4 linked regions of the Arabidopsis thaliana genome follow. The protein of the gene in region 4 purifies or fractionates together with the protein of the main gene of each other region. This does not show direct contact. Each region holds a gene or a part of one and is shown on either strand. Other genes may lie near its edges.

The links.
Region 1: the proteins of RbcX1 (region 4) and ACC1 purify together in Arabidopsis thaliana (affinity purification with mass spectrometry, with the first as the bait; one study listed by BioGRID). This does not show direct contact.
Region 2: the proteins of RbcX1 (region 4) and rbcL purify together in Arabidopsis thaliana (affinity purification with mass spectrometry, with the first as the bait; one study listed by BioGRID). This does not show direct contact.
Region 3: the proteins of RbcX1 (region 4) and THI1 purify together in Arabidopsis thaliana (affinity purification with mass spectrometry, with the first as the bait; one study listed by BioGRID). This does not show direct contact.

What each region holds. Positions count from the first base shown.
Region 1 is NC_003070.9:13,531,051-13,537,267, forward strand, and holds the start of ACC1 (acetyl-CoA carboxylase 1), read left to right. Parts: upstream 1-2,117; 5' UTR 2,118-2,509; exon of another isoform or gene 2,510-2,848; intron 2,849-3,116; 5' UTR 3,117-3,145; coding exon 3,146-3,487; intron 3,488-3,638; coding exon 3,639-3,845; intron 3,846-3,931; coding exon 3,932-4,093; intron 4,094-4,174; coding exon 4,175-4,267; intron 4,268-4,400; coding exon 4,401-4,496; intron 4,497-4,676; coding exon 4,677-4,850; intron 4,851-4,943; coding exon 4,944-5,037; intron 5,038-5,132; coding exon 5,133-5,320; intron 5,321-5,402; coding exon 5,403-5,453; intron 5,454-5,527; coding exon 5,528-5,567; intron 5,568-5,655; coding exon 5,656-5,780; intron 5,781-5,856; coding exon 5,857-5,973; intron 5,974-6,048; coding exon 6,049-6,123; intron 6,124-6,199; coding exon 6,200-6,217. UniProt on the Arabidopsis thaliana protein: Multifunctional enzyme that catalyzes the carboxylation of acetyl-CoA, forming malonyl-CoA, which is used in the plastid for fatty acid synthesis and in the cytosol in various biosynthetic pathways including fatty acid elongation.
Region 2 is NC_000932.1:53,337-58,383, reverse strand, and holds rbcL (ribulose-1,5-bisphosphate carboxylase/oxygenase large subunit), read right to left. Parts: upstream 3,427-5,047; coding exon 1,987-3,426; downstream 1-1,986. Other genes in the region: accD (acetyl-CoA carboxylase beta subunit), read right to left, coding at 1-1,309; atpB (ATP synthase CF1 beta subunit), read left to right, coding at 4,228-5,047. UniProt on the Arabidopsis thaliana protein: RuBisCO catalyzes two reactions: the carboxylation of D-ribulose 1,5-bisphosphate, the primary event in carbon dioxide fixation, as well as the oxidative fragmentation of the pentose substrate in the photorespiration process.
Region 3 is NC_003076.8:22,244,933-22,250,318, reverse strand, and holds THI1 (thiazole biosynthetic enzyme, chloroplast (ARA6) (THI1) (THI4)), read right to left. Parts: upstream 3,801-5,386; 5' UTR 3,686-3,800; coding exon 3,287-3,685; intron 3,164-3,286; coding exon 2,675-3,163; intron 2,590-2,674; coding exon 2,428-2,589; 3' UTR 1,987-2,427; downstream 1-1,986. Other genes in the region: AT5G54780 (Ypt/Rab-GAP domain of gyp1p superfamily protein), read left to right, coding at 1-20, 104-196, 280-402, 500-588, 689-794, 895-992, 1,103-1,366, 1,442-1,525 and 1 more; AT5G54760 (Translation initiation factor SUI1 family protein), read right to left, coding at 4,802-4,846, 4,941-4,994, 5,157-5,362. UniProt on the Arabidopsis thaliana protein: Involved in biosynthesis of the thiamine precursor thiazole. Catalyzes the conversion of NAD and glycine to adenosine diphosphate 5-(2-hydroxyethyl)-4-methylthiazole-2-carboxylic acid (ADT), an adenylated thiazole intermediate.
Region 4 is NC_003075.7:2,115,273-2,121,251, forward strand, and holds RbcX1 (Chaperonin-like RbcX protein), read right to left. Parts: upstream 3,346-5,979; 5' UTR 3,292-3,345; coding exon 3,141-3,291; intron 3,026-3,140; coding exon 2,931-3,025; intron 2,849-2,930; coding exon 2,731-2,848; intron 1,783-2,730; coding exon 1,766-1,782; intron 1,657-1,765; coding exon 1,594-1,656; intron 1,509-1,593; coding exon 1,428-1,508; 3' UTR 1,281-1,427; downstream 1-1,280. Other genes in the region: AT4G04320 (malonyl-CoA decarboxylase family protein), read left to right, coding at 1-62, 191-274, 366-541, 628-756, 841-913, 996-1,081, 1,169-1,253. UniProt on the Arabidopsis thaliana protein: Chaperone involved in RuBisCO assembly process.

The sequences.
Region 1 (6,217 bases), on a different chromosome or scaffold from region 4:
TATTAAAAACGAAATTTCTATGTATAAAATTATCGCTATATTATCACTTTTACTGAACCGATGTCAAATTACTCGATTACAACATCAATTGTTATAATTGATGCTAAACTACATAGTTTGTATCATTTATTAATAAATAATTTTTAAATTGATATTGTTTATTTTTGTGATACTATGTAAGTGCTGCAATCAACCATTTTTCTTGTATTGTATGAAAATGATTTGCCTAAAATCATATATCAGCTAATCAAAGAGATAGATGCATATGTGCTAATTAATTAAACAATACATATGAAATTATACCTCTTATATAAAACCATCGACAAAGAGTTGTGATGAATGATGATTTCTGTATATTAATGATTTTTGGTGAAACATATAAATGATTTTATAAATATGAATGGTTTGCAATACAATATGCTTTTATGAATTATAGTCGTGATAAATAAAGTAAAAGCATATCTGAGACACTAACATATACGATATAGTCTAGAATGTGGTAAAAGTTTTTATTATCCTTAGCTTAACATGGCCATGCATATTATTGTGAGATGACCACCTCATGCGTATGAGGTAGATAGATGAAGAATTGGTAAAAATCTATGAATTGATTTTACATGACTAACTTGAACTTGGGTGCAACACTAATCTAGATCTTGGTCCAATATACGTTCTACTAAATGAGAAACAAAACATTAAAACATTTGAAACACATAATTTACAAGCAAGAGGAAAATAAAATGTTGGTAACCTAAACCACCCAACCTTGTGTCAACGACTCAACGTACACAAATACAATTCCTCTTGGCTTTAATCTATTATATTACACATTCCTAAGACAATAATAAATATTTTCTTTAAAACGGAAACAGACCGACCAAATAAACGAAATAATAAATCTCATACAATGCGATCCATTTGCTATGGCCTCTTGTGACGTATTTGAAGTTCATTTAACACAGACGGTAGAAATTTATTGTCTTCTTCATGGCTTACCTAATACTATTTTAAAATAGATATCTTTCATTGCTTAACAAATTTATACCATTCTTCTTTTATTCGGCACAAATCTATGTTTTGCTATCATTTGCTTTGTTCGGATACAAATGTAAAAGAGATAGTTATGTAGTAAACTAAATGTAGTAAACTTTTAAATAAGAAAATTATGAAATAAACTCAAATCAGCATTTTCTTGATACTTTCTAATAGTCTTAAATATACACAAGAACAAAACATAAGTATATAACCATAAATTGAAGTTAGCTAAAGAGAACATAAATCTAAAGATGGTAAAGGAATAATATTTCTTGATTTGGCCTGCGAATATATTGAGAAAAAAGTTTCCAACAAGTTAAATGTATCTTATATAAAGCATTAAGAATGGTATATATTAATTTAAATATAACCTAGAAAAACTATGCAAAAGATTTGTTTGGGTTTGAAGATTATCCACTTAAATTTGGCAATTAAATTCAAGAAACTATTGGTAAATTATATATGCCAAAAACTAAACTGGCAAAAAATATTGAAATCTCCGGAGATAACCGAAAAACCTAAGTTTTATCGATTAAATCTAATCATATTCTCTAGATTTTCTCTGAAATTAAAAATTATTCTGATGTCTATAAAAAATCACAAATTCCATATAAAATTTCCTGTAATCATATATTTTTGGTTTGGTTAAAATTTTTTTTTTTCCAAAACTTGAAATAAAACTTTGTATAATAATACTATGCAATAGATTTGTTCGGGTTAGAAGATTATCCATCTAAATTTAGCAACTAAATTCAAAAAACAATTGATAACATAATATATCTCTGTAAACTATATATGCCAACATAAAAAATATTTTTTTCTGCAAAATAAACTGGCAAAAATTATTGAAATCTTCGAAAATGACCGAAAAACCGAAGTTTTATCGATTAAATCTTGTCATATTCTCTAGATCTTCTCTCTGAAATAAAAATTGTTTTGATGTCTATAAAAAATCACAAATTCCATATAAAATTTCTACAGTATTCAATTTTTTTTTTGTTTTGGTAAATAAAAAAACTTGGTTCTAAAACTGGAAATAAAACTTGAAATAAAACTTTGTATAATACTACAATGAGAAGCATTGGGAAATAATATAGCGGAAAAAACAAGAGTGGGGGGATGAAATGAGGTAGCTGAGGAACAAGTACGGCGCCTCCTAACAAAAAGGGATCGAAAAAAAACAATGGAGGTGTGGAGTGTGGCGGAGGCAGAGACCACGTGCTCTCTCTTCTCTTCTTCTCCTTCATCTTCTTCCTCTCTTCATCATCTCCCATTATTAACTCTTCTGACCCCACTTTCCTTCTCCTCTTCTAACTCCAACCTACCCTCTTCTCTCTTCCCTCTCTTAAAACCCTTTCTCTCTCCCTCATTCTCTTCCATGTCCTCCTCTCTGTTATTCTTTAGCTAAACACCCACAATTCTGGCCTTCTCTGATGCCTCTTTAAGCCAATTTGTATCTCTGCTTCCTTACAAGGTTTAAAGTTTTCTGCTTTTGCTGATTTTGTTATTTGGGTGTTTTAAAGTTTTGATTTTTATGGTTTAGCAATCGGAATTTGGACTTGTTTTTGTGATTTTTTACTTGTTGTTGGAGTTGGGTTTTGTTGAGTTTTTGTTATTTGGGTGTTTTAAAGTTTTGATTTTTATGGTTTAGCAATGAGAATTTTGCACTTGTTTTTGTGATTTTAACTTGTTGTTGAAGTTGGGTTTTGTTGAGTTTTCGACTTCAATATTGTAGAATTTTAGTGGGTTTGGGGAGTTTATAATCATTAGTTCTGAGATCTCTCAGATTTCTAAAGGAACTCATTATTATTGGGTAATGATGCTTTCTTACTTGCAAGATCTTTGCTTATGATTGCGTTTTGCTTTTTCTATACTCTTTTTTTCTTCATGTGATTACGCAAAAGCATTGCTGTCATCTTTGTTAATTCCACCTTGTAATCTGAAGCATCTTTGTTTGTTAGATTAAGCAACCAGATTAGGAATTGTTTTAATATTCCTGTTATGTTCTTTCAAGTCATTTTGGTAGATAGCATCAGTTTCTTTGTAAAGTGATTCAGTATGTGTTTATGGCTGTTTTGTAGATATATCTGAAGCTTAAAGGGCAGTGACAATGGCTGGCTCGGTTAACGGGAATCATAGTGCTGTAGGACCTGGTATAAATTATGAGACGGTGTCTCAAGTGGATGAGTTCTGTAAAGCACTTAGAGGGAAAAGGCCGATCCATAGTATTTTGATAGCTAACAATGGAATGGCGGCTGTGAAGTTTATACGTAGTGTCAGAACATGGGCTTATGAAACATTTGGTACGGAAAAAGCCATATTGTTGGTGGGGATGGCAACCCCTGAAGACATGCGGATCAATGCGGAGCATATCAGAATCGCTGATCAGTTTGTTGAGGTTCCCGGAGGAACCAACAATAACAATTATGCTAACGTTCAGCTGATTGTGGAGGTGAATCCAACTTTTGGGAACTACTATTATCTGAATTATCGTGTTTTACTGTACAGAACACATGTATTAAGCTCAATTTCAGCAATGAAGTTTTGGTCTTTGGAGTTATTTTTCATTCATCTGAACATCTTTGTCTACAACCTGTGTGCAGATGGCTGAAGTAACACGCGTGGATGCAGTTTGGCCTGGTTGGGGTCATGCATCTGAAAACCCCGAATTACCTGATGCCCTAGATGCAAAAGGAATCATATTTCTTGGTCCTCCAGCATCTTCAATGGCAGCACTGGGAGATAAGATTGGTTCTTCGTTGATTGCACAAGCTGCTGATGTACCCACTCTGCCATGGAGTGGTTCCCATGTAAGTAAATTTACTCTTGTTAAGCTTAGCTTGTGTACCAGAGGTATATATTTTCATTTTTATATACTGAATTCCTATGTTTTCAGGTTAAAATACCTCCTAATAGCAACTTGGTAACCATCCCAGAGGAGATCTACCGGCAAGCATGTGTCTACACAACTGAAGAAGCGATTGCTAGCTGTCAAGTTGTCGGTTACCCAGCAATGATCAAAGCATCGTGGGGTGGTGGTGGTAAAGGAATCAGGAAGGTCAGCTTCTGTAGATATGCCTTTTGATTGTGGACTAAGCCGATTACTATATAAGTACTTATTCTGGTTTTAAATTTATAGGTTCATAATGATGATGAGGTTAGGGCTCTATTCAAGCAAGTTCAGGGTGAGGTCCCAGGCTCACCAATATTCATAATGAAGGTTGCGTCACAGGTATGGCTGCTTAACTATATCTCTTGATCGAAGCTTAGCTGAGTTCTTATCTGGTTACTTTACTAGAGAATTTAAAGTAGTAATGCATTGCTTTTCTTTACATTTCATTTTTTCTAATTTTTTTTTTGTATAGAGTCGGCATCTAGAGGTCCAGCTGCTCTGTGACAAGCATGGAAATGTTTCAGCTCTGCATAGCCGTGATTGTAGCGTCCAGAGAAGACATCAAAAGGTTTGTTAGTGGTTGATTCTGGATTTTTAATTGTCTGGTTAGTGGTTATATAGAAAAACATTCTGTCCATTTATTCTTATATAGTTATATACATCAATTTTTGTTCTCCAACTGAGTTATAGTCCCTTTTAGCGATTGCAAATTATTGCATGAGCTCTTACTTTATCGTTTGTATCGTAGATCATAGAGGAGGGTCCAATTACTGTGGCTCCGCCAGAAACTGTCAAGAAACTTGAACAAGCAGCTAGAAGGTTGGCTAAGAGTGTTAACTATGTTGGAGCTGCTACTGTTGAGTATCTCTACAGTATGGACACTGGGGAGTACTACTTCTTAGAGCTTAACCCTCGCTTACAGGTTGGTTTCATACTGCAGCTTTTTGCGTTGAAATATATTGAAGGTCCGGACTTGAAAATTGAATGACTTGTTTAACTTGATGTTTGAGGTCAGGTTGAGCATCCTGTCACTGAGTGGATTGCCGAGATAAATCTTCCTGCTGCCCAAGTTGCTGTGGGGATGGGAATTCCTCTCTGGCAAATCCCTGGTATAATCTACGTCCTTATTTCTTACAGGCAGCGGTTCCTCTTCTTTATCCATGCACACGAATAATGTACTGTCTGTTTCTCTTTAATTTCGTAGAGATAAGACGGTTCTATGGAATAGAACATGGTGGAGGTTATGATTCTTGGCGAAAAACATCTGTTGTAGCCTTCCCTTTTGATTTTGATAAAGCTCAATCTATAAGGCCAAAAGGTCATTGTGTGGCTGTACGTGTGACAAGTGAGGATCCTGATGACGGGTTCAAACCAACCAGCGGTAGAGTTCAGGTAATGTGATATCTGTGGAATGCAAAGTGAAAGTTCATTCACTGAGAACTCTGTGGGTAACACTTGTATGAACTTGCAACAGGAGTTGAGTTTTAAGAGCAAGCCAAATGTGTGGGCGTACTTCTCTGTCAAGGTAATTATATCTATAGAGACTCTGCTATATAAGTGTTTCACAATGTTTTAAATTTTACGACTACTTTTTTACAGTCTGGTGGAGGCATCCACGAGTTCTCGGATTCCCAGTTTGGTAAGTTGAATGAAATAAATGTATTTGGGCTGCTAGGTTCTTTTCTTGAGTTTACAAAAATTGAAACTTTCTTTAATCTTCCATTCAGGACATGTTTTTGCATTTGGGGAATCCAGAGCCCTGGCGATAGCGAATATGGTTCTTGGGCTAAAAGAAATTCAGATCCGTGGAGAAATTAGGACTAACGTTGACTACACGATCGACCTTTTACATGTACGTTTCTTCTTGCACACAAACTTACACTCTGTGTATGCAATACCCTGACAAGATCATTTCAATTGTCAACCAGGCTTCTGATTACCGTGATAACAAAATTCACACTGGTTGGTTGGATAGTAGGATTGCTATGCGGGTCAGAGCTGAGAGGCCTCCATGGTATCTCTCTGTTGTCGGCGGAGCTCTCTATGTAAGAACCTCTTTCTCAGAGATTTATTTGTCTTGAAAAGTTTCTATCTGGTGACGAAATGTTCTATCTGTCCAGAAAGCATCAGCGACCAGTGCTGCTGTGGTTTCAGATTACGTTGGTTATCTGGAGAAGGGGCAAATCCCTCCAAAGGTAATCCAATACCAGGGATCTCTTTTGCCTTTCTAGTAATGTTCTTGTAGCTTACTTTTTCTCTCTTAACTTGCAGCATATATCTCTTGTACAT
Region 2 (5,047 bases), on a different chromosome or scaffold from region 4:
CAATTACTCTTTTACCCGCAAATGCAATATAGGCATAGGGTTCGGCAATAATGATATCCCCCAACATACCAAAACTAGCTGTCACTCCACCGGTAGTAGGAGATGTAAGAATTGATATATAGAATAACTTTTTACTTGATTGATAATCACATAAAACCGAAGAAATTTTAGCCATTTGCATCAAACTTAAACTTCCTTCTTGCATTCGTGCTCCTCCGGAAGAACACACTAAAATAAGAGGTAAACATTGATTGGTAGCATACTCGATCAAACGAGTTATTTTTTCGCCTACTACGGATCCCATACTACCCCCCATAAACCGAAAATCCATAACCCCAAGGGCTACCGGAATACCGTTTAGTTGACCTGTACCTGTTTGAACAGCGTCAGTCAATCCTGTAGTTTTTTGCGCAGAGTCAATACGGTTTTTATAAGGTTCCTCCTTCGAATGAAATTTAATGGGATCCGCAGAGACCATGTCTTCATCCATAGGATTCCAAGTACCCGGATCAATCGAAAGCTCGATTCTTTCTGAACTACTCATTTTCAAATAATGTCCACATTGTTCACAAACATTCATTTTGACTTTCTTATACATTAATCCATAACAATTGTCGCATTGAATCCACAATTGATTGTAGTTTTGAGTTATATCGAAATCCTTAGAACTTATTAAATTACTACGATTCCTATTAGTTCTTATCTTGTAATTTTTACTTTCACGAATCTTTCCGCTTTCACTACAAATGAAATTATAAATGTAACTTTCATTAAAATTATTACTATCGATTAAAAAGTTATTATCAATACAGATGTAAGAACGAAAATAAGAATCAATGCAACTATTAATGTGATTAGTACAATTATATTTAGTATCCTTAATGTAAGGATCATAGTGCAGATCGTTGTCACCTTTAGATCTATTATTTAGATAACTAGAACTACAATAACTATAAAAAAATTTTTCTAGGTCACTAAAATCATTGTCAATCTCAAAAATTTTTTTTTTTTTATCAAAAAATATAGAATAACTATTCTTATTACTATCCCTAACAAAAAAGGTGTCATCCGATATGAAATTGCGAATGTCCTTGGAGCTAACTAAAAGATCAACATTATTGGAATAACTAGAAGAATAACTAGAACGCTCATCCCAACCATAAAAGTTTTTATCCATATCATATATAAAACGGTCTTGACTTATAGTAGTCTTTTCACCAGGAGCAAAACTATCCATTGCTTTACTTAGCTCACCTCTGTATTCCAATTCTCCCTTAGAAAACATAAAATTGAACCACGATTTTTCCATAGAGCTTCTGGCCTCTATTTAAATGAAAATACAATAACAATAGATGAATAGTCATTCAATGAAAAAATTGAAAAATGCAAAATTTTTTTGAATAGTTCATTTTCTATTCAGAGTAAGCAAAACATATCGATGCAATTGCTAAGATTATTAAGTAAAGTAATTGAAATGAATCAATTTTAATTCTAAATGAAAAGAAGGATTTTCTTATATTGTGTAAAATTCTCATAAAAAAAAAAGAAATATTTGTTCTTCGCTTATGAATATAAGAATATTAAGAACTTTTTTAGTAAAATCTCGTATACTAATATAAAAAAAAACTTTTTTTATTCCAATACGGAATGAAAAGAAAAGGACAACATGCAGGATGGGGTAGAAGAAGCGGGGATACTTGGTTCAAGCCCTGACACGAAAGAATATAACACTCCTAAGAATTAAGAATCCATGTTTCGTATAGGATTTCTTGTGGACACAACACTACAATAACAAAATTGTAGTTGTGTTTAATCTTCTTTTTTTTATTGAAGAGTTTTTTTTCTATCTAAATTTAAGTATGTATCTATCAAAAAAAATAGTATATACAACAGATAACCTCGGCTCAATCTTTTTTAGTAAAAAAAAGATTGAGCCGAGTGCAATTAAACTAATAAAACAAACGTGAATTACTAAATCTAATTCATCTACTCTTGGCCATCTAATTTATCGATGGTTGGGAAGTTAAATGTGATCTCTTTCCATACTTCACAAGCAGCAGCTAGTTCAGGACTCCATTTGCAAGCTTCACGGATAATTTCATTACCCTCGACTGCAAGATCACGTCCCTCATTACGAGCTTGTACACATGCTTCCAGAGCTACTCGGTTGGCTACGGCACCCGGTGCATTTCCCCAAGGGTGGCCTAAAGTTCCTCCACCGAATTGTAGTACAGAATCATCTCCAAAGATCTCGGTCAAAGCAGGCATATGCCAAACGTGAATACCCCCTGAAGCCACAGGCAGAACACCAGGTAGTGAGACCCAATCTTGAGTGAAAAAGATACCGCGGCTTCGATCTTTTTCAACATAATCATCGCGCAGTAAATCAACAAAGCCCAAAGTTGACTCCCTGTCTCCTTCAAGTTTACCTACTACTGTACCCGCGTGAATATGATCTCCACCAGATAGACGTAAAGCTTTAGCTAGTACACGGAAGTGCATACCATGATTCTTCTGTCTATCAATAACAGCGTGCATTGCACGGTGGATGTGAAGAAGTAGGCCATTATCTCGGCAATAATGAGACAAACTAGTATTTGCGGTGAATCCCCCTGTTAAGTAGTCATGCATTACGATAGGAACTCCCAATTCTCTGGCAAATACAGCTCTTTTGATCATTTCTTCGCATGTACCCGCAGTAGCATTCAAATAATGCCCTTTGATTTCACCTGTTTCAGCCTGTGATTTATAAATAGCTTCGGCACAAAATAAGAAACGGTCTCTCCAACGCATAAATGGTTGGGAGTTCACATTCTCATCATCTTTGGTAAAATCAAGTCCACCACGTAGACATTCATAAACTGCTCTACCATAGTTTTTCGCGGATAACCCCAATTTTGGTTTAATAGTACATCCTAATAGGGGACGTCCATACTTGTTCAATTTATCTCTTTCAACTTGGATACCATGAGGTGGTCCTTGGAAAGTTTTAGTATAAGCAGGAGGGATTCGCAGATCCTCTAGACGTAGAGCAGCCAGGGCTTTGAACCCAAATACATTACCCACAATCGAGGTAAACATGTTAGTAACCGAACCTTCTTCAAAAAGGTCTAAGGGATAAGCTACATACGCAATAAATTGAGTTTCTTCTCCTGGAACGGGCTCGATGTGGTAGCATCGTCCTTTGTAACGATCAAGGCTGGTAAGCCCATCGGTCCACACAGTTGTCCATGTACCAGTAGAAGATTCAGCAGCTACCGCAGCCCCTGCTTCTTCAGGTGGAACTCCAGGTTGAGGAGTTACTCGGAATGCTGCCAAGATATCAGTATCCTTGGTTTCATATTCAGGAGTATAGTAAGTCAATTTATACTCTTTAACACCAGCTTTGAACCCAACACTTGCTTTAGTCTCTGTTTGTGGTGACATAAGTCCCTCCCTACAAGTCATGAATTTAGAATTCTTGCAATAAAACAAAACAACAAGGTCTACTCGACATAAATTAGGAATAGATTTAATTAACCTTTTTCACAGGAATCTTTCACAAAATTATCAACTAATCAGAATTATTCTTTATTAGACCATGATATTTGATTCGCCAAATACATCATTATTGTATATTCTTTCATATGTATAGCGCAACCTAATACTTCTTTTTCAAGTTTTGAATCTTTGACTTTTTATAAATCCAAATATTTAATATTAAAATTAAAATATTAATAAAATCACTCTTGACAGTAATATCTGTTGTATATGTAAATCCTAGATATGACAATATGCGGAATTCATCCATGAAAATGAAAAACAAGGGGGGGTTGCTAAAGGGATGAATAAATGGGACGCATAACCGGATATGCTAAAATGAAAATACGAAAAAAAAGGCTAATGAGATCGAAATAATGAATCATAACTAAAGTTCCGTTTCGAATTCGCTAGATAAAACAAAGGCTTGCCTATTCCTATTATGATAAAAAAATAAAAGACTTTCCGCAAAAAATTTTTTTATTCATATATTTTTTATTTTAAAACTAGGTTTCAGTTAGTTGAGCTTGAAAATGACTATTCCTTCATTGAATGAATAAAAAATTGAATTCCACATCCGCTTGGGTGGGACCAACGAAATCGAGTGCTTACTCCCACTTTTTATTGAATTAACCGATTAATTTGCTATCGAAGATTTTTTCTGTATTCGAAAAAATTCGTAACAAAATTTAACATATTTTTTTTATTATGAGAACAAATCCTACTACTTCAAATCCAGAGGTTTCGATACGTGAAAAAAAAAACCTGGGACGTATCGCCCAAATCATTGGTCCGGTACTGGATGTAGCCTTCCCCCCGGGCAAAATGCCTAATATTTACAATGCTCTGGTGGTTAAGGGTCGAGATACTCTTGGTCAAGAAATTAATGTGACTTGTGAAGTACAGCAATTATTAGGAAATAATCGAGTTAGAGCTGTAGCTATGAGTGCGACAGAGGGTTTAAAGAGAGGAATGGACGTGGTTGATATGGGAAATCCTCTAAGTGTTCCAGTCGGCGGAGCGACTCTAGGACGAATTTTCAACGTGCTTGGGGAACCCGTTGATAATTTAGGTCCTGTCGATACTCGCACAACATCTCCTATCCATAAATCCGCGCCTGCTTTTATAGAATTAGATACAAAATTATCGATTTTTGAAACAGGAATTAAAGTAGTAGATCTTTTGGCCCCTTATCGTCGTGGGGGAAAAATTGGACTATTCGGTGGGGCTGGCGTGGGTAAAACAGTACTAATTATGGAATTGATCAACAACATTGCTAAAGCTCATGGTGGTGTATCCGTATTTGGTGGAGTAGGCGAACGGACTCGTGAAGGAAATGATCTTTACATGGAAATGAAAGAATCTGGAGTCATTAATGAACAAAATCTTGCGGAATCCAAAGTGGCCCTAGTTTATGGTCAGATGAATGAACCGCCAGGAGCTCGTATGAGAGTTGGTCTGACTGCCTTAACTATGGCAGAATATTTCCGAGATGTTAATGAGCAAGACGTACTTCTATTTATCGACA
Region 3 (5,386 bases), on a different chromosome or scaffold from region 4:
ACTACAAGAAACAAATTTAGGTAAAAATTTGTATCTTTTGCTCTAGGAAACAGTAGAACAAACACCTTTCACTAGAACTTATAATTTTTATGTTTTATCTCAGGTGCAAATGGTTCAGATTTCTTCAAAGATCTTGCAAGCCGTGGACCTTTGGACCAGAAAGTTATTCAATGGCTGTTAACACTTCACCAAATAGGTCTGTAATAACACTGCTTTGGTCACAACAGAGAGATAATTCAATATGTCATTGAATTGACTTGCGTAAACTCTTGTTTTCAGGTCTTGATGTAAATCGCACAGATAGGACTTTGGTATTCTATGAGAAAAAGGAGAACTTGTCTAAGCTTTGGGACATTCTAGCTCTTTACGCATGGATAGACAATGATGTTGGTTATTGCCAAGGTAAGCAGTTAAATATAAAGAAAGAACAGGGTTTATCCTTTGTTCAAGCCCTGATTGATTCTTATGTTTTGATCTATCTACTCTTTCTTCTGAGTAGGAATGAGTGATCTTTGTTCCCCTATGATTATGCTTCTTGAGGACGAAGCTGATGCTTTTTGGTGTTTCGAAAGATTGATGCGCCGATTGGTACTATACCTCTATGTTTTGTGTTCATATAAGTTTGTCTTGACTCTCTCTGTAATCAGATAATACTAAAGGTTTTTTATTCTTCTTTTGAACTTGAAAGCGAGGGAATTTTCGTGACACGGGGAGATCAGTTGGAGTCGAAGCACAGCTTACTCATTTGGCTTCAATCACTCAGATTATTGACCCCAAACTTCACCATCACTTAGGTATCTATTAAAGCTTTCTAACCTCACTTTTAGTATATAACTAATCGTCACTGGTTGAGCAAGAGAGATCTTGAAAGACATTATGGATCTTGAAATGCAGAGAAATTGGGTGGTGGTGACTATCTCTTTGCTATTCGAATGATAATGGTTCAGTTCCGAAGAGAATTCTCCTTTTGTGACTCCTTGTACCTTTGGGAGGTAACGTTCTTCTTCGTCTCTTTATAAACTTCACAAATCACAAACTCAGAAACATTGTTCTTTGACCGCACACTAATAAAGACTGATACGTACATGTATTCCTTGAGCAGATGATGTGGGCATTAGAGTACGACCCTGAAATGTATTCTCTATATGAGGAGCCTCAATTCGAGGGAGAGAGAATCGAAGGTTCCTCCAAAGGTAAACCAAAGTCGATAAACCAATGCGGGAAGTACGAGAGAGAGAACATGAAGAATGGAGGGAAAAGCGCGGAAGGTCCTTTGCCTATCTCTGTTTTCTTAGTGGCTAGTGTTTTGAAAGACAAGAGTTCTAAGTTAATGACCGAAGCTCGAGGACTTGATGACGTTGTAAAGGTAATGCAGAGAATTCAGAGCGGTTTTTATCTGTTTTACAAGTGAAGTCCTCTTTAATCTGTGTATTTTGCTCAGATCTTAAACGACATAACCGGAAACTTGGATGCTAAAAAAGCCTGTACTGGTGCAATGAAACTTCACAAGAAGTATCTTAAAAAGGTTTGCTTTATACTCTTATGAGTTTGTGTATGATCCTTCTTTAGCTATCTTATAACTCTCTGATTGTTCTGTTTTTGGTATTTCAGGCCAAGAAATAGCATTGCAGAAGATTCACGAGTAGTAGCGTTTTTGTATGTTTTTATACATATTTGATAACTCACAAAACCGGCGACAAAAAAGTGACTAACGATTCCTTGGGTGGCAAGAATTCTGAAGAAAAGAGCCCAATTTACACAACAACTTCTCGTTGTAAACTGTTCATACAAATCCACACATTTTGTAATATTTGTTTCACAAACCAAAACAAAAAAAAAGCACACAAAAGAATTATCATCGATGTCATTTCTAAACTCATTGTTGCACTTCTAAGTCGGATTATATATGTAAATAAGGATGGAGTATTTGAATTCCAGGTCAGACATCAGTATATATATATATATATATATGTTCATAAAAGAAATGTAAAAACTTTTTTCTTTCTATTTCACAGTTTTCCTCTGTTCTCTGAATCTAAAATCATAAAACTCTTCGTTCTTTCATCAGCAGAGAAACTATAGACATTGAATAGCTCTATCTATACATAATTTCTTCAAGGATAAGAATCAGAATTGAAGACAAGAATCCGACATCCAACACTAATCTCATCCCTCAAATTTAGACAGATTTTGTATTGCCAACGACAACGAGAAAGCTGCTTGTACTAGAGCCATAAAGAAGGAGAAGAACGAGAACATACGCATTACGAATGAACGGATACGATATTTTACACAGAAGTTCAGAAGAGAGAAACAAAGACACCAGAAAAGTTCAAGACATATTAAACACCTAAACTCCTTTTATTGCACTCCTTCAACATCCGAAGGATCAAGGGAAACTTTTCTTAACGTTAAAACCTTTTGATTTTAAGCATCTACGGTTTCAGCTGAATCTGCTGCGGCTAAGACCAGCTCCGGGCTTAGGTTTCCAACGAGAGTTCCGTCAATAGCATTCGGTAGCCCCAAAGCCTTAAGAGCAAGTTGTCCCGCCTTTTGTCCCGATATCATCATAGCACCAAAAGTTGGTCCCTACATCACCACAAACTAACTCAGGACATGATCTAACGAAAACTATGGATACCAAATCAAACATATATAGGTCAAGAATACTCACCATTCTCGGTGCACCATCGATCTCAGCAACTTCCATACCGGTAACAATCATACCAGGAACAACCTCTCTGGTCAACCTCACAATAGCGTCCTCAGCAGTGTTCATGTCCAAAGCTTTCATCCCAGGAACATGATCAATCATCCCAATACTCTTCAACCTCTTAACACCAGTAGCTCCAAAAGGACCATCATGACCACAAGAGCTAACCACAATCTTCGCTTCCATAACATTAGGGTCCATACACGATTGTGTGTGGTGGTTCTGAGCCACAAGAGCCCAGTTAGTCACCACACCACCAACTCTGTTTCCTTTCACAATCAAATCCTCAGCAGCCACAGCGTTGAAGAGCTTCACATTAGGACGAGCCAAAAGCTTGCTCATGATGGTTGATGTGAACAGAGCCGCGTGCTTAACCACAACGTAGGTGTCTTGCTCATCGTAAGCCACACCAATCTCGTCAAGGAACAAGTGAGCTGGTTTGCGAACAATCTACCATAAGCACAAGCAATCAATACTCATAATGATTCAATCTAAACCCTAATTCTCCATTAAAACAGAAACAGAACTCAAAACTTCAACAAAATCACACATGCAAATGAATCTAAATCTTACCATGGCGGAGAAAAGCTGACCACCGAGCCAAGCACCACCACCAGGACTAACAGATTGCTCAATAATGGCAACTTGAACATTAGGGTTCTTACTGATCTCATAAGCAGCAGATAAACCAGCAGATCCAGCACCAACGACGACGACATCAGTCTCAGCATAAGTGATCATATCCGTCATGTACCTTCTCGTCATCTCACGTGACACGATCGATTCCTTGATCGGGTCGAACGTGAAAGCGTTCAAGTCGTAACCAGCGGTTGTGGCGCGAACGGAGAAAGATCGTGGTTTGAGACCGATGGAGATAGGAGCTGCGGAGATGGCTGAGCCATGGAAGGAAGAATCGAAAAGTCTCTGAGGTTTGGTTGAAGAAAGAGAGAGAGTAGAAGCTATGGCAGCCATTTTTGTTTTTCTTTAGGGTTCGAGTTTAGTGATGCTGATGGTGAAGTGAAGAGTGGTTGTTGAGTATTTAAATTAGAAGAAGAAGAAAATCTGAAGATTGATGGCCACGTCAGAGATAAGGAATGAAGGGTTAGAGAATTTTTGATCTTTTTTTGTTATTTTAATTGTTTTTTGTATTATTAATATTTATCGTGATTATTTTAATTTTTAGCCATCAATGGAAAGTAACGATCTCCTTTCTTCACGGTTCTGATTGAATGAAGAAAAGACACTTCTCTTGAACAAGCCCAAATTTAGTAAAACCATCTCCAATGACTATGTCTATTTTTTTTTATTTTTTTTTTGGTCAAAAACTATCTCTATTTTTTTCCCCCATTTATGAAAGAAAAATACTTATATTATACATTGATTAAATGTATAAAATTAATGGCGAATTGATTACTGTTATAACTTCAAAGAATTGACTGAATCGGATTGCTCTATTTCTTGAAGAAAAGGGAAAAAACTTTGCAATTAATATTGTGATATGGATCAAAATAAATGTATAAAAAAATATCTCGAAGCTTTTATCTGGGAACATCTGTAGCCAGTTGCAGTGAGTGTGTGGTGACACGAACAACAAGAAGGTGAAATATCTTTGTACGATAGAGACGGCATTTGGACTTTACTAGTGACAGAGACAGTTCATTTATCATTATTTGTGTGCTTATGAATTATTATTACTAGTGAGAAGATACATCAGCCTTTTTGATCATTGAACTTTTTTGTGGTCCAAACTAAAACCTGCAATTTGGTATACTTGGAAAGTATCGACCGTATAAACTTCCGGTTGGTCCTTATATAATTTTAAAACTATGAACCATTGTAGAGAAAAATTATAACAAGTTAGAGCAGAATTATCTTAACAAACTGATATTATAAGATAAGTAAGATGTGAAACAGAGTAACACGAAAACAGGGGAAGAAGTATGGTGAACATAAGCCATTAAAATTCGAATACCAAACAGAAGAAGAACACTAGGAAGAAGACGATTTTGATGAATCAAACCCGAAATTCGCAACAAGAGATGAAAGAAAAAGATATGGTTTTATTAATAATATGATCCACTAGATAGCTTAGAAACCATGGATCTTGATGTTATCCTTCTTCACCAAACCAGCCTGTGATTACAGAGAAACAGTGAGATCAGACAATCATCTTACACAGTTTGTATGTTTTAGCAGTAAAGAGACTCGTAGAGTTATTGATATTTACCTGGACAAGGAATGTGGAGACGTTCTTACGTTGGTCACCTTGAAGCTGTATAACCTACAAATCAACACAAACCATAAACAAAACTAAAACAGAGAAGCTCAAATGTTCAGATAAGAGGCCAAATCATTCTGGTTTGTTCAAGCAGGCACTAACGACAGAAATATTATCATCCACTTTCCACTACATGGATCAATAGAGTGTTTTGATAAAACCTACCTGTCCGAGTTCTGAATCCTGAACCACAGTGCCGTTGCAGCAAAACTCTTTCTTGAGGTCCTTAAGTATCTTGGTATAGCTGTACTCTTTCTTCAGGCCCTGGACGGTTGTCAAGCTTTTCCTACCATTTCGCTGCTGGACACGGATATGAACGTATTCTTTTGTTCCGGCACCTGAGTCCTCAACATTCGCATCAGCAAACGGATCTGAAACAAGCAACAGCAAATTGA
Region 4 (5,979 bases):
ATCCTCCCATACCAGAGAACCAAGCAACATGCGCTTTATTTTACTCTATTTCTTCAACTCAGGTATGTGCACACTCTTCCTTCATATCTGTAGTTCTTACATTTGTTCTCGTTGATTTTCACATTTTCTATTCATTTCGTGGTTCTGATGAAAGCTATGGCTTTATGACTTCTGTCTTATGTATTTGCAGCCTGGCTTAGCTGGGATAAACCTCGGAAAATTTCTGATCAAACGAGTGATTACGTTGGTGAAAAAAGACATGCCACATGTTTCTGTGAGTACTTTGACTAATTTGTATGCAAATCTTGTTACAGGTCTAAAAGTTTGTATCTGCTTGCTCAACAAAACTGTTCTTTTTGTTGCAGACATTTGCAACACTTAGCCCCATTCCTGGATTCATGCAATGGCTCCTCTCGAAGTTATCATCTCAGTCAAGATTTGCTGAAGATGAGCGTGGTACACAGAGCAATTCGCCTTCATCTACGTTTAGTGAGAAAGTATTACTACCAGAAGAGGAACATGCCCTCATGACTCTATCAGAGTAAGATTTTCTTCATGCCCTTATGTTCTTATCTGTTATATAGAAAATCAAGTTCAAGTCATCAACTCAGTGATCTTTTTATGCAGTGAATCTTCATCCGGTAGCAACGGTATGGAAGTTCTGTTGAATTTGCTATCAGTAAAGAACTGCGATTGGGCTACTTCGCCTCGCCTATTACCAGTTTTAGAACCTATTCTTATGCGGTTATGTGCTAGGTATGTTCATTCTTGGAGGAGATGTAATGGTTATATATGAATCATATAGGCATAACTTTCAATGGTCTTTCTTGATTTTGATAGGTACCTCTTGCAAGAGAAGAAGAGAGGAAAAGCTTTAGACTCTGTTGCTAACTTCCACTTGCAAAATGGAGCGGTAAGTCCAGTGAATGACGATAGGTTTTAGTTAATAGAGTGATTGAGATTGATAAGCTTTCATGTTTTGATACGTTACATAGATGGTTGAAAGAATAAATTGGATGGCGGATCGATCAGAGAAAGGTATTCGTCAAAGTGGAGGCATTATGGTAAACTATGTCTATAGGTAAAGTAAACTTTGTACTTTAAATTATTCAGCTACGAAGCTTTCATTTTTGTTGGTCCTAAACCCATCTTATTCGATTCATGACAGGTTAGAGAATATCGAAGACTATGCTCAATCGTATTTTGGGTCGGGCAAAATCCATGCCTCTCCCGGTATCCATTCCCGTCTCTAGGTAACTCCGCAAAGAAAATCGGGTTTTGATCGATTTGCAGGTAAAAAAAACTAAGGTATCAAAACCTGGGAGTAACATAGCACAATGGTATGTATATGTATGTACAAACGGTTTCAAGTGTGTATACTCTCAAGACTCTATATATATGAATGTGATTCGAAGAGATATTCGGTTTCACTTATCAGAATCGGTTTCGACATGGCTAGTCTCCAAGACGTACTCGCGCATGAGTCTTGTGTTGGAATCATCTACGTTCTGCATTTTCAAAAACACAAGATGCTTCATTACGTACTTGCATTCATATATGTACAACGAGAGAGAGAGATAGATAGAAGTGAACCTTGAAGGCGAGGCGCTTCATATTATCCCATTCGAAATCGTTTTTACAATAAGCAGACCGTACCTAAGCGGTAACAAACGGTTTCAAACCGTAAATACAAACGTAGAGATGAGAAAAGATGTAGAAGTGTTTTCGAAAATGTATTAAAGGAGAAAAGAAAAGCTTAGCTTACCTCTAAAATTCGAAGGGCTTGTTGCATTGGCCATGATACCAAAAAAAAAAAGCAAAGTTTTTAGTTTACTTATCTCATATCAAGTATATGTATACCTAAAAGATATACGAAACTTATGGATCTACAAAGTGATTTCGTTAGTAATCCGCAAATTGGTGGAATTGTATTTCGTCACGCAATTTTTGAAGTAGTTTTTCTTTACAAGAATTGCACAGATTAGTTGTGTTATACTGTTAGTTTTGTGCCTGAGCAAATTACCCGAACCAGATGTACCAAACCAAAACCGAAGTAAACAGAACCGATAACCAGAAACTAATTGAATGGATACAAAATTTTATAATCGAAATAACTGAAACCGAATGGATACCAACCGAAATATTTTGAGTAACCAAAAATATCTAAAATATAAATATATATTTACAAAAGTATTAGTTATTTCTAGACTAGATAATTAAAAATACTTGAGAATATATATAAAATAGTAAAAATATTCAAAAATAATAAAAAAAATATCTCAAAATATCCGAAAATATCCAAAAATATCCGAAAATAACCGAAATATCCAAAAATATTTAAAGCAAAATAACCGGATGGATACTAAATTTTAAAACCGAAATAATCGAAACCGAACCGAACTTTCAAATTAACCGAAGGGATACTAAACTTTAAAACAAAAAAAAAAACGATAAGCGAATGGATATAACTGAAACCGAATATATAAACCGAACTCCCATAACTAGTTATTTTAGTGAGAAGTTTCAACTTCCAATGTACGAAAAGAATGTTTGGAAAAAGTAAAGAGATTTCGTCTAAATTACTAGAAGAAAACCAAATTTGTTAAAAAAGTATAATGTATAACTTTAAGAACCTAGAATTAAAATTCCAACTAACAAGTTTCACAAAAAGAAAACGCATACTAGAATTTTATAACCAAATTATTGATATAAAGGTGTTATTTTTGGTACCTAAGTTCATGTGACGTGAAGAGCGACGCATGAGAGTGGCGCAGAATTTATCACCGTCACTTACAGAGTTTGTATCTAAAAATTCTCTCAACTCCATATAAGCCTCAGGATTATAACTCTGTCATTAATTAATATATAGATCATACTTATTATTAATCAAAACACCTAAATTAAAAAATCAAATAAATCGTCAAATCAACCTCAAGCTGAGCAGACACTATCCTCACTGCAACGTAAGTAAAGAAGTCATGAAGATGCTTCGCTGCCTTAGCCTCCGGTGAAGCTTCTCCAAAGCCTAATTCAATTATATAACAAAAAAAACATTAGAAAAATAGGCATTAATCTATATAGAACAATTCTGTATGAATAAAAACCACATTTTGTGATGAATATGTCATATTGTTACATACCGGGAACATACATCTTGTTAGAACAAATGCGAGTTTGTTTGCATTTTCGCGAACTCTGCATTAATGGATAAGAAACCAAAGGTCTTTTTCCAAATTTTGGATTAAGGTAAGAGAGGTAAGAGTGATGAAGGAGTGAAGAAGATGACTCCATAGAAATATTGGATGAAGAAAAATTGCAGGAGAGGCATATTGTTTTACTATTTGGTCGTATATAAGAGAATGTATTAGATTCACACATTAAAATATCTAGGATATGGATAAATAAATATCTTCTAGTTGGAAGTATATAGACAAAACATGTCTTATTTGTTTCAATATCTGGTATTGTAATATCAAATATATCAATTGGGTTTATTTATTTTTATCAATTTTAAGTATTTTTCTAATAAAACAATTTATCAAAAAAATATAATTACTCTTTGTTTCTTTTGTCAGTACTAGTTAATCGGTAAAATTTATTAACTAAATGTATGTATGGCATAATTGAAAAGAGTTGTGTTCAAATGGTTGTATACAATGAAAAAATTCGAAACTCTAGCTTTGAATGGTAATTCATTATCAAAGCTGGAAGTTGTACAGTTTTGATGGTTATACATTTACAAAACTTTTATCAAAAACGTTACAAATTTTTTTATTTTCAGTTTTATTGTACAGTTTTCTCGTACAGCTATTTTTACAGCTTTGCATTATTTCAAAAAATTTGAGAGTTAAAAATTTTGTACAGCTTTGTGTTACATGTTAGACATTTAGTATACATAGACAAGGAGAGGTAGATTATAGTTAAGTTTGGTATATTACTTATATCCTTCTGCTGTTATAATTCTAAAATTCAGTAAATTTAAGTGGATCATGATCGAACACCACACCTTTACCCACAAACGTTGGCCCATGATCATCACATATTGAAAAAAATTATATTGTTACACGTGTAAATACCTACGCCTAGTGATTCAAAGGTCAAAGTCAAAACGCTAAAATTAATGTTCTAATTTCTAGATCACATGCCATGCGCGTGTTAACACTGTTAAATTGTCCACACCACACGTGTGAAATGCTTATCTTATCTTCCTATATTAGATTCTTAGTGGTTCGTGTAACTCACTCACTTCTCACCGCGTGTTAATTATTTAACTAGCCGTTAGGCGTTAGTATTTCGACAGTGTGGCAACAACTGTTATAATAAATTCTCATTAAAACCAATTAATAGCTTCATGACCGAATTATTCCGATGAAAAGATAAAATAGTACTACATCTTTTTTTTTTTTTTTGTCATCAAATAGTACTACATCTGTTTGCATGTAAATTGTATAGTACTACATCAAATTCCTTGTATGTTCTTAGTTTGTTTTTGATACATTTAAAAGGGAATATATATATATATATGTAATTATACTAAGTTCTTAAGATATTCTATTCCCAAAATCTTGATTGGATGATTATTATTATTTTAAAATATTGATAAATTTTGACCATGTAATGGGTAAATTATGAAATGCCTTGGAATTTTACTATTCATCCTACTTTTATTATTATTATTTTTATGAAATATACATATCATTCAATAACATTCCTAATTTTAACATTACAAACCACAATCGTTTGTATCAAACAAAATAGAATGAAAAGGAGGCAAAATACAGATATTTAAAAATTTAGGTTAATTTCCAGAGAATAGATTTTGTGGAGGAGAAATACATGGCATATAGTTCACAGTACAACGTTATGTTTTACATCTAATAGCAACCACCAACATATGATCTCCATCTTCTACATATACATTTTCGCTGCCATTTTAACAAATAAATCTTCAAGTTGGAACTTATTTACAAGAAATGTTATTGACATTTATTATTATCAAATAATTAATATTCTTAATTATTAGCATTTACTTATCTAATATATATCCATCAATTCTAATTACTTTTAAAAAGGAAAAATGTTAGGATTTTATTAACATTATAATTTATTAAAGATAAATAATATAGTTATTTAAAATTTATAAAATATTTAGGATATTTACCGAAAAATGTTTAGAATATATATAATATATGAAATGTATTAAATTAAATAACCATTTCAAAAGAAAACTTTAAATTGAATTGAATTATAAATCTTTTAATAAAAATATTATTAGAACAAAAAAAAAAAAATAATGTTTAATTTACCGAACTAGATTAGATGGAGAGACGGATGTAGAATATTATAATGTATGACTTTTACAACAATTAAATAACCATTTGAAAGAAGATTTTTAAATTAATTTGAATTATATATCTTTTAAATTAAAGTATTATTAAAATAAAATAACAAAAACAAAATGTTTAATTTCAGTGAACGAGTTTAGATGGTAGGACAGATTTGGGTCGATTGTAATACGAGATGATATACCAAGAGTGAAATCTATTAGATATGTTTAGTTTCAGTGAACGAGATTACATGGTAGGACGAGTTTGAGTTGATAGTAATACGAGACGTTATACCATGGGTGAAATCCTAGATATAACAATCAAAATATAATTATATTATCTTAAAAACTTAACAAAATAAATATTATTAATAAAATAAACATAATTAAAATTTAAATTATTTAATAATAATCTAGATTTTAACTTAATGAACTGTACATTATTGTTCCTATATTTTTAAACAGTAAAAATCAAACATAGTAAGAGTTATACATTCAGAAAATACAAAACATTAAAGGCAAAAATGCTTAAAAAATCCCAAACAAATTTTAATTTGGAAGTTTAATACTCAATACTTTTGGATTGAAATAAAAATACATCACTTAATAAATTGTTGCCAAATAAAACACTGTATTTTAATTATTGGTCGAAT